Cricetulus griseus: one gene and its partner. The protein of the gene in region 1 interacts with the protein of each later gene in a pairwise test. Links are inferred from orthologs where the notes say so. Each region holds a gene or a part of one and is shown in the gene's direction. Other genes may lie near its edges.

Evidence for each region. The genes of interacting proteins can lie anywhere in the genome.
Region 2: the proteins of Fhl2 (region 1) and Id3 interact in binary tests that used the Homo sapiens proteins (3 or more experiments, as listed by UniProt). The link is inferred for Cricetulus griseus from reciprocal best matches to the Homo sapiens genes FHL2 and ID3.

The regions. Positions count from the first base shown.
Region 1 is NW_023276807.1:5,337,929-5,343,682, forward strand, and holds the start of Fhl2 (four and a half LIM domains protein 2), read left to right. Parts: upstream 1-2,182; 5' UTR 2,183-2,493; intron 2,494-5,754. UniProt on the Homo sapiens protein: May function as a molecular transmitter linking various signaling pathways to transcriptional regulation. Negatively regulates the transcriptional repressor E4F1 and may function in cell growth.
Region 2 is NC_048595.1:17,162,552-17,167,951, reverse strand, and holds Id3 (DNA-binding protein inhibitor ID-3), read left to right. Parts: upstream 1-1,881; 5' UTR 1,882-1,950; coding exon 1,951-2,250; intron 2,251-2,367; coding exon 2,368-2,427; 3' UTR 2,428-2,450; intron 2,451-2,932; 3' UTR 2,933-3,442; downstream 3,443-5,400. UniProt on the Homo sapiens protein: Transcriptional regulator (lacking a basic DNA binding domain) which negatively regulates the basic helix-loop-helix (bHLH) transcription factors by forming heterodimers and inhibiting their DNA binding and transcriptional activity.

The DNA.
Region 1 (5,754 bases):
GGTTGGTTTTTGCTGCATTGTCTTCTCCTGCTGTCTCGCTTAGCATTATTGTAGAAATGGGTAAGTCTGTTTTGAGAGACTGAATTTTCCTCACCGTAAGACCATTGAGGTATTTAATAGCTCTCTAATGTCGAAAGCAAAATACAAGAATAAGTCACAGGACTTTTTAATAAAGAAAGCAACATAATCAGTGTGGTACAGCTGCAGCAATTAGTAACTCACACAATTTAAACAAATAAAACAAAAGGAAGCAGGAAGGGGATAAATTGGTTTATTTTTTGAACCTGTATTTAAAACCGAGGCTTAAGAGACCTAGACCATTTCGATACCTGTAACTTTTCATAGAGAAAGTAAATGTTAGTAGCTTCAGAGCGATTGGTCTGTCTACATACACTTCGCTTTGAATCCACAGTTCAGCCTATCTTGACCATCAGTGGTAAGTCACTTAGGGTATGCCTCACTTTGAAGATGGGGATAGGAGTGGAATGGATTTCCTGTGTCAAATCTCAGCATGTCCATTCTCCTCAGAGAAAAGTGTTAACCACAGGGAATCACCTGAGTGAGCCACAGGAATTGGGAATTTCTGATCCTTTACGATACTGAAATGGCCTTGCTATCTCATAGACACCGGTGAAAATCTCAGCTGGTAAAATCTGTTTTTCGAGACAGGGTTTCTCTGTGGCTTTGGAGGCTGTTGTCCTGGAACTAGCTCTTGTAGACCAGGCTGGTCTCGAACTCATAGAGATCTTCTGCCTCTGCCTCCCGAGTGCTGGGATTAAAGGGATGTGCCACCAACACCCAGTTTGAGATAACTAACTTTACATAGAGGGGCTGAGCATCCTGGGGAGGCCATATATATATATACATATATATATATATATATATATATATATATATATATATATGATGCCGAGTAAGTGACAGGTCATGTGACCCCCCTTGCCTCTCATGTTCTGAGATTCCATCATGGGGATCCTCTTGTGGTGCCAGTCAGGAAGTATCAATGAGAAGAAAGCCATCCCACAGCTCTCCCTGCCTTCTCTAACATATGTTACCCCGAGCTCCCCTGGAGAATGCCTACACCCAAAACCATTGTGATGGTCCTTCAGTCGATTGGCTGAACTTGGGAACCCCTAGGAGACACACCTCTTTGAGGGCAGTTCCAGAGAGGTTTAACCGAGGGGCAAAGACTGACCCCCAAATGTGGACAGCACCTCTCAAGAGCTGGCCTCTCAGACTGGATGAAAAGGGGAAATTAAACTGTTTCCTGACTGAGAAGGCAATGTGACCAACCAACTTGACATTCTCACAGTGGCCATGCCATCTCAGTGATGACCAGCTGTATTCCTTCATAAACCCTGCAGCCAAACGAATCCTTCCATTAAGTTGTTGGTCAGGTTACAGCACTGAGAAGTCCTTGCCTCTGCCACTGCATGTGGGCCCCCCACCTACTCAAGAGCAGATGCTGCCCTTCCTAGACGTGGGGATGCGGGTACCTTCCACCACCATGTTGGACATTGCCTCCTGTCCCTACTAAGGGCCAGCTCTGTGCAGAAGACCTTGGCTTTGAGCATGAAGGACACATTAAGCCCTTCATTTGCTTTCTGCCTGCATGGAGCCACTGAATGTCAACAGCTAAACAGCTCTCAACCTTCTCTCAGTCAGCTACCTGGTGGAACAGAGTCATTAAAGATTCTTTACGTCATTGGTTGGGTTCATTCCACCACGGAGAGGTATTTGCAAGGGAAGGCCGGGGAAACTACCATGCCAGTGCATGCCCTACGCACACATCGTTCCTCCCCCAAATCTCCAAATGGCCCACCCATGCTTGCCCAGACGGCGACCAGGCGCAGACCCAGCAACCCAGAGGAGGGTCCTGGTGAGAATAGACCCATGTCATTCTGCCCTTAGGTGACAGCGGCCACAACCCTCTGCACTGCACTGCCACTGGCCCCTGGAGCGGAGGCCAGGGCGCAGGGAGGCTTGACTCTGTGCGCCACACACCGGGAAGTAAAGAAGAACGTTAAGTCAAACAAAGGGTCCGCAGCAGCTGCAGCAGGGGGGAACACGCGACGACAGGCGATCGAGGGGCGCTCGCCACCGCGCCCTGCTCCCTTGGCCCGCGCGCCCAGCCCGCCGCCCCTGCGCGTGTGTCCTTATATGGTCAAATGACTCGGCGGGGGTTCTCGAGGGCGGGAGCCGAGCCGGCTGCACTCCGCCTGCTGAGCCGCCGCCGCCGCCACCACCACCGCGCAACAGTCCTCTGAGTGCCCTAGACCCCGGCCCCGTCTTGCGCGAGTACTCCTGCCGCCGCCCAGTCCACAGCCGGACCTGGTACACAAGAATAGCCAGCAGACAGCTGCCCTAGCACGCGTGGAGAGACACCGGTGGCCAGCGTACCCTGACCGTGGGGCGGAGACCCGGCAGACCCGAGCAGGGCTGTGCAGACCGCACCCCTGTAGGGACCCAAAACGGGAGGAACAGATCCTGGAGGTAGGAGAGCCCTGTTTTGCAGAGGACACCAGGGATGGGGACCTAAAACGGAGAGCGTAGATCCGGGGAGAGGAGAGCCTAGCTGGGCAGGGGATACTCAGAAAGGGGACTCGAAATGAAGGGGAAGGAGGGGATACGGAGAGTCATGGAGACGGTGGACCGGAAACATGAGAGAAGAAGGGGAGTCTTGAAGGGGAGACCTCAGAACCGGGGAGTTGATCTACAGGAAGAGCGGATGCGGGGCAGAGAGGACTAGAATCATGAGTGCTAGGGACCCGAGCACAGGAGAGTCTGACTTGGGAATGGTGGGGAAGGGGACCATTGGTGTCCAGAGAGAGGGCTACAGCCCTAGAGGAGTGAGTCGCCGCCAGGTGGTGAGAGACGATGAGTCTCCCCCAGAGGCAAAGTGGAACTGGTCTCTGAAGTCTATGGAAGGGAGGTGACACGCTGGTCAGCACGTGGATGGCCAGGCATTTCCCTTGGGAAGAAATGGGAGTTTGCCTGTGACCACACATCTTGACTCATCCACAAAATTAAAACCTGAGCCATAGGGTTAAAGAAAAATAATAATAATAACGCTTTGAAATGAACAGAATTCTAACTGATAGATTGCAGTCTTGTGATGTCTTGTGGAAAGAAACGCTTCAATGCTGTTTCTGGTTTTAAATGAAGCATTGGTCGTATTTGCTTGATAGTCTCCAGTTGTGTCTCTGGAACTCACCGAAGCAGGCATTTTATGAAATATGCAGCTGTCTTTGGCAAAGCCAACTTGTGGCGTGCACTTTCTTGCACATATTTTTAGGAAGTAATGAACTACAATTTGGGCTTACAGTCATGATGAGATTGTCTTCAAAACACTACTCTAAATGTGTGTCATGTCGTGGTGTTGCTCTGCTTATATGTATATTTTGCAGTAATGTATGTGAGGAAGGTTGCTTGTGGTAGTGTTACTGTGGTTATCGTTTGAGATAAATCCTTACTCTGTAGCTGGGAAAGCCTGGAGTTTACCATGCCATCTCAGGTGAACTCACACTGGTGCCTATCCTCCTGCCTCAGCCTCCAAAGTGTTGCAATTACAGGAATGACCACGAATTCCTCAAGCCCCCCTCTCCCTCCCACAAAAAAACCCAATTTGCCCTAAGGCTTAGAGTTCCCAACCCATTACCTAAAGGTCAATAAAACCAAATTTAAAACAGTCATTTTTCTCACTCTTTTTTTCAGATTCATCTCTCTCCTAGTTTTTAACAGAATAGTGTGTTGCATTGGTGGCCCCCATCCTGGCTTCTCTTTGTTCTACCTCCTTGCTGTCCGGCCTAACAGATACAACATGGATAGGTGTAGAAAGCTTGGTTGGCAGATGCACCTGGAACAGAACCAAGATGCCAGAATTAACACTGGGACCTCTTAGCCCACATGGCCTTGCCTAATTCACAAAATCTATTGGTTGCTCAGTTTCCTCCGAGAGAATCAGATAACAAAGACGCTTTCCCAGCATACATATATACACATATGTGTGTATATAGATGCATATATATCCTGCATATTATATGCAGCATATGTAGATTTTATAGCCTCTTGTTCACAGATAAGAAAACTGAAACAGAATGGTCGAAGTAACTCTGATGTCCAAAGTTTCCCAGTATGTAGATTGTAGCCCTGAGAGCTGTATCTGGAGATTTCTACTCTGTACTGGGCCTCACTGTATGAATATTTTGTTGAGGCCCTATGCGGCATGTTTTTACCTAAGACTGTTAAATGCCTTCAATACTAAGCACTATCTCAACTTCAGAGAGAAATGCGTAGCAGGATATAGAAGAAAAAAATTCAGAAAGCCAAGAGGAGTGGATTCTCCCCCTGTTCTGCACAGAGGGCTGGCTACCCAGCACCTAACACACCACGTCCAAGTCACTGTTCTATTGTTGTGAGAAGACACCACGACCAAGGCAACTCTTATAAAAGAGAGCATTTAGTAGAGGGCTGGTTACAGTTTCAGAGGCTTAGTCCATTACTGTCACTGTCACAGCAGAGAGCATGGTGGCACTCAGGCAGACTTATGCTGGAGACGTAGCTGAAAGTTCTATTTTATGATCCACAAGTAGCAGGAAGAAAAATGGGGCTGAGTCTGGCATGGGCTTTTGAAACCTCAAAGCCTACCCTTAGCAACACACTTCCTCCATCAAGACCACACCTCCTAATCCTTCTAATCCTTCGGAGAATTCCACTTCCTGGTGGCTAAGCATTCGAACATATGAGCCCACAAGGATCACTCTAATATAAACTACCACACACCAGCTTAGCCATTTGTAAGCAGCTGTGGTTCAGATATGATTTTTCTTCAAGACTCTTGTGTTGGAAGCTTGGTCATCCTTGGGTAAATGTTGGGAGGTAGGGAGTGAAGTCTAGAGGTTAGAGAGCTGGTCCATCAGCTAGGAGTACTTACAGAGGGCTTGAGTTGGACACACCATTCATGAACCCCGGTAACTTCTACTACAAAAGAGCCTATATCTTCTTCTGGCTTTCATGAGCACCTGCACACACTCATGCAGACATGTACACACTATGTAAAAAAATAAAAATGAAAGAACTTAGGAGAGGGGCCCTAGTCAGCAGAAGGCCCACCCTCGGGAGGGACAGTGGTACCCATCTCTCTCATTCTCTGCTTCCTTTGACAGTGTGATCTGGCTATGTCCTTAGTGAGGTCCTCACCAGAGCAAAGATGAGACCTTTGAATATCCAGAATTACCAGTTACAGAACAGCAAAAAGCGGGAGAGTTTAAGAAGTTGGAAAGTGTCCTTGGAGCCAGCAAATATAGCTTGTCATACAACTAGACTGTCAGTCAAAGAAGATATAGACCTGTGCTTGCTGCAACCTTTGGAGCCAGCTGAGTTGGGCAATCAGTGAATGAGTGGAAGGAAGTACGTCATCAGCCTCTCTTGATGGAGCCCTGATATGGAACACTGAGGCAGAACCACAAAAGAGAAGGGCAACCATGAAAAGAAAGACGGCAGTTGTTCCTGGAGTGGGAATGCTAAAGGAAAAGGCCAGTGAAAGTCTGTGTAGGGAGTTGGGGCTGAAATATGGAGGACAGGCAGATGAAGACAAAGCTGCTAATGATTTGTACCTTGAAGAGAGAAGGAGCCTGCTGAGAGAGAACAGTTGGCTTTCATTCTGTAGGTGTGGAAGCTGAAAGCTTCACACCCTCGAAAGCAGTGGTAGAGCCATGGGGTGGAATCTCCCTCCATCTGGAAGACTTAGGAACT
Region 2 (5,400 bases), on another chromosome or scaffold:
TACAGGTTGGATTCCCTTTGCCTTAGACTGAAAGCGCTGTCCTTGAGAACTTTAATATTCCCAGGAGAAAACTTTCCGAGGCTTTTTCTGGGACACAGGGCCCTGTGGTGTGATGGAAAAGAACGAGACTGGCTTTACCTGTGATGAATACTGGACATGTTTTTTATGCCCCCTCCCAGCCCTTTGCTATCCCACATGCCCTGTCCAACTGTCACACAAGCGTAGAGTTCTTAAGTCAGAAAGTATTTAAAGAACCCCTTAGTGCCATCTCTCTCTCTCTCTCTCTCTCTCTCTCTCTCTCTCTCTCTCTCTTTCTTGCTCCTCTCAATAGGCAAAGTGAGGGTATCATCGATTACTTGTCGATGACCAATGGCTGGCAGAGCTGGCTGATTGAACCCAGGGCTCTGACTTCCTAGTGTCCTTCCCACTGTTAGAACTGTCCTAGCTCAGAGGTCCCATTGTCCTGTTGAGAAGTGCCACACACTACTAAACACTTAATTGTTTCCTGTGTTAATCTCATCCCCGGGCATTGTGAGATTCTTGAGAGCAGAAGCCTGTTTCATGTGAAGCCTATAAATATTCACTAGGCTGATGAAGAAAGCACTCATGGCTGGGAGAACCTCACCTGGGCTTCTCCAAGATGGGACTCAGAATCTCCGAACTACAGGGTCTTTAGAGTCTGGGAAGTGGAGAGGAGACCAGCAAAGACTATGGGAGTGCACTATCCTTTTGCAATATGGGGTAGCCTGCCTGCTGGCTCTTCCTGACGGTGATGGAGCCACTTCAGCAGGATGAGAGTAATGACGTCCAGGTGGCTACCCTTCCACAGCAGAAAGGGACAGACAACCGAGGGAGCGAGGCAGTTGCTATTGTTTTCTGCACAGAATGTGGAAAGTGTGGGGAGGGAGGGAGGCTGTGCAAAATGAGGAAGCAAGTTAGAAGAGATTTGCTGACCCATTGGCGCATGTATGTGTGTGTGGAGGGGACCTTCTAAAGGGCTTACGCAGAAATCATTCCTTCTAGTCTCCGTATCGGAAACCTCCAAACTTCTAATCAAATTCACTTCCAAAGCACAACTGGGCATGCATTTAGCCTTAAGGGGGTTCATGGGACAAAGGTTCATGCTTTTTCTTTCTCTATGGAAAAGGCTTGGATTTAGGCTGCTTTCTTCTCTCTCTCTCTCTCTCTCTCTCTCTCTCTCTCTCTCTCTCTCTTAACCCCCCTTCCCCTGTTGCTCAAATAAATAATGTTCTTTGCTCAAGCCTCCTTTCCCCTCCTCCTTCTGCAATCTCAGCGCCTAGCCCAAATCTGTTTTCTTCATTGTAACCTCAGCTTCACCGCAATTAATTTTTTTCCCCTCTGGTCACAAGATAATTCCCGACGCCAGTGAGTCTGGAGGTCAGACGAGCAGCAAATTGGGGAACAAGGCGGCACTAATTCCTTACAAGTTTCCCTTGAAAATTCGAGAGAGAGAGAGAGAGAGAGAGAGAGAGAGAGAGAGAGAGAGAGAGACCTTCAGGGATTTATGATCACGGAGCTGTGGGTTCGAACCAGTGTTGGGCAGAGGGCAAGGGAGCTCAAGGATCTTGGGCGCCGCCAGAAAAGGCAAATTCTTAAAGTTAATGGTTTTGGTTGATTTTTCAAATCTCTGCTGGCTCAAGAGCCCCGCCTCTCCTCAGTCTCAGCGCTTCCTCATTCTTCGCATCCGCGCCTCAGCGGTCCTCGGCGTCAGACCAGCCCAAGGAAGCCTGTTAGCAATTTAAGCCCACTGTGGACGCCCAGGGTCGGGGAGGCGGTGCCCAGGGAGCGGGGTGGAGCCTGGCGGGCTATTTTGAATAAGGGGGCGTGGTCTCGGGGCGACTCTTTAAGAGGCGGCTGCAGCAGGCGTGCGCCGACTGTTTGCTGCTCTAGCTGTCGCCTCCTCTCCTCCAGCTTCACTCACTCTTCAACATGAAGGCGCTGAGCCCGGTGCGCGGCTGCTACGAAGCGGTGTGCTGCCTCTCGGAACGCAGCCTGGCCATCGCGCGGGGCCGCGGCAAGAGCCCGGCGGCAGAGGAGCCGCTCAGCCTGCTGGACGACATGAACCACTGCTACTCGCGCCTGCGGGAACTGGTGCCGGGAGTCCCGCGAGGCACTCAGCTTAGCCAGGTGGAAATCCTGCAGCGTGTCATAGACTACATCCTCGACCTGCAGGTGGTCCTGGCAGAGCCGGCGCCTGGACCCCCGGACAGTCCACATCTCCCGATCCAGGTGCGCAGGGGCGGCAGGCGGGCCTGAGTTGAGCTGCTCGTGCGGGCTGGGATGCTGCGGGTCTCTCCCACCGACTCCCCGAATGCCTTGGCTAACTCGCCCCCTATCCTTTCACAGACAGCTGAGCTCACTCCGGAACTTGTGATCTCCAACGACAAGAGGAGCTTTTGCCACTGACCCGGCGGTCCTGGCACCTCCCGGTAAGTTTGCTTCTGGCATGGGCAAGGAGGCTTGCTTGGGAAATCCTGTGGTTGACAGGACTTTGCAAGGCTTAGGGTTTCCTTGGTTTAGGGAAACCCAAGCGAGGAAAGAGGCAAGAGGCTTGTCGGTGGTCACTTAAGAGTAAACGACAGTATCAGTGTCAATATCACGTGCATGTTAAAGCGTGCTGCCTCTGCTCACCCGGGGTCCTGGGCAAGCGGGCGTGCGGATCGCACCAAATACTCTTAGTAAAGGGAGCCCCCTTTCCACTAGTGTCGTTTCCAAGCGGGAGGGGGAGTGGTGGCTCCGCCTGTGGTCCTTTGGCGCCAACTGGGTGGAGGCTTGTGTGGGGCGCGGAGTTATCAGCTGGAGGTAGAGACCAAGTTTCCTCCCTGGCGCCGGCCAGTCTGCGGCGGCCTCCGCCTGGGCGCGCTCGGCGGAAACTGGCGGCTCCTTCACTCTTCTCTTCTCCCCCGCCCAGAACGCAGGTGCTGGCGCCCGTTCCGCTTGGGACCCTGGGACTCTGGGACCCTCTCTCCGGCCGGAAGCCCGAGGGCATGGATGAGCCTCGATCTCGCCCGGCCCTCTTCACTTCCCCTAAACCCCTGCCTCGAGGCTGGACTGGGAGCCCGAGAGCGAAGGACTGAACTTGGGTGGCCTGAAGAGCTAGCGCTGGTCAGCAGCTGGGCAACGTCACCCGGTCCCCACCCTGACTCCCAAGTCTTAAAAGACTGGCTTTTCCGAGAATGGGGGTGTCGAGAATGGGGGCGAGTGTGGCTGCCCTGCACACTGCCAAGGCAGCGTAAGAGCTGGTTTTCTGATCTCCTTGGAGAACGGCTCTGCTGCCCTGATTATGAACTCTATAATAGAGTATATAGCTTTTGTACCTTTTTACAGGAAGGTGACTTTCTGTAATCATGTGATGTATATTAAACTTTTTATAAAAGTTAACATTTTGCATAATAAACATTTTTGAACACTTTGTGTATTATATGCGGCGTCTCCCCATTTCTTATGTGGCTGTCTTTAGGAAATATCCTGGGATCTTGGGAGGAACAAATTTGGGTACCCTCTTAGGGTTAAGTTCCCAGCTGAAGCTGAGGGATAGGGTGGATATTTGAAAGGGCTAAGAATGGGAATCCCCAAATCCATTGGGGGTTGACAGCAAGTATCTGCAATCCTACCCTGTCAATTACAGAAACCCGATGCAAACTACCCAGCAGTTTAAGACTGAATTTTTCTTTCAGTCCCTTGAAACAATTACCTTCCTGGCTCTTTGCAGGGGATGTGGTAAGAGTGGCCCCATTTCAGAGATGAATAAACTGACTGCCAGGCCTGGTCTCAGTTCCCTCATGCTTTCTGGTCTAGCTTCCTTCTAGACTTCCAAAACCAAAAAACCCTCAATTGCTGCGCATAGCGATAACACACCTTTAATTCCAGCACTTGGGAGGCAGAGATAGGCATTTCTCTGAATTTGAGGCAAGCCTACGTAGGTAGTGAGTTCCAGGACAACCAGAGCTACATAGTAAGAGCCTGTATTGGAAAAACCAAACCAAAACCAGGGTCTCTCAAATCTTCAGCCTCTGTCGGAGATGCAGGCTAGCTGGGAAGCAATGCTGCACGTTCCCTTCGAGCTCTAAACTTTTAACTTTGACCTGTGAGTTTGAGAAAACTGACTAGGATTTTGTTGGGCATGACTAGGATCTTACTGGCCAGCAAAGAAAAAGACATCAGCCCATGTCCCATCTATTCACCCCCAACACGGTGCCTCCCCAGGTGGGATGCACCAGGCTCCTGGCCTCACTGAATTCCTGTTTATATGATCTCTGTGTGTTGGGTCTTGGCATAGTTACTAATATTTCATAACAAAAGGGTCATGTCATTACCCTTTGTGCATTAACCCTAGTAAGCCTTTTGGGGTGAACCAGGGTCAAAGGGGGGGGGTGCAACCTCTGTCTTTGCCAATCATCCTACAGTCTGATGAATAGTTTTTAATCCTGATCTGGGTCCTGATTTCCTCTGATGAGTTGAAGGACGATATGAGCATCCTTCCGAAGGCACACATGAATTTTTTAAGAGTAATAGCAGACCTCCAACCTTCTGGAGGTCGGGAGTTCCCATGTGAGAAACCCTTGCCCCAAATAACCTTAAGACTGGTTATCTCCACCTTGGATGGTGTGTTAGGCTGTGCTGTGTTCTCTGGATACAGCCCATCGAGGGTGAAAATCCCGGACTTGCTGAGTACTGCAGGCTACAGACTGTGCCTCCAGTGAGCCTCAGTTCTGAGGGACCTTTTTTACTCTACCACAGTAGTCTGCCTTCTGTTCACTTAGAAGTTAACACCAGGGAAAGCTGCAGGCTCATGTGCCATGTGACCTGGAGCAAGCCACTTCTCTCTGAGCCCAGCTGCCGGCTAGGACCCAAGATAATGATGGGAAAGTTCTTTGAAATGCATCACACACCTACGAGGCATTATTAAGCTAATTCCAAGGAAATTGCTTGTCAAGACTCCCAGGGCTGAGCAGTTCAGGTGGCCAGGACAAAAGCTTAGACCATCCCGCCAATCCATTAGTCATTAGAGAGTGAAAGCAATTTAGCCCTAGGTCAGAAACCTCTGAGATAGTTCTTCAGTTGTAATCATTAAGGGGAGTGCCTACCAGGTGCGCCGAGTCCATTTCATCTTAATCTTTTTTCTAATCAGCAAGGTGGGTATCTTGAATAGGTTTATCAAGGTCACAGCATGGAAGTGGGAGACGGTATTTAAGAAGGCCAGCTTCCTCTAGCTCCGAAGCCCGTGTTTTCATGTACTTCAGACTTCTCTTTTCCCTGCCACTCTGTGAGTGGGACGCAAATTAGGAACCCAGTAAGAGCTTGTTGGAAAAACAACAAACAAACGTGAAGGTTACCTTATTTCTGTATGAGATGGGATGATAGTATCTCCCTTGGAAT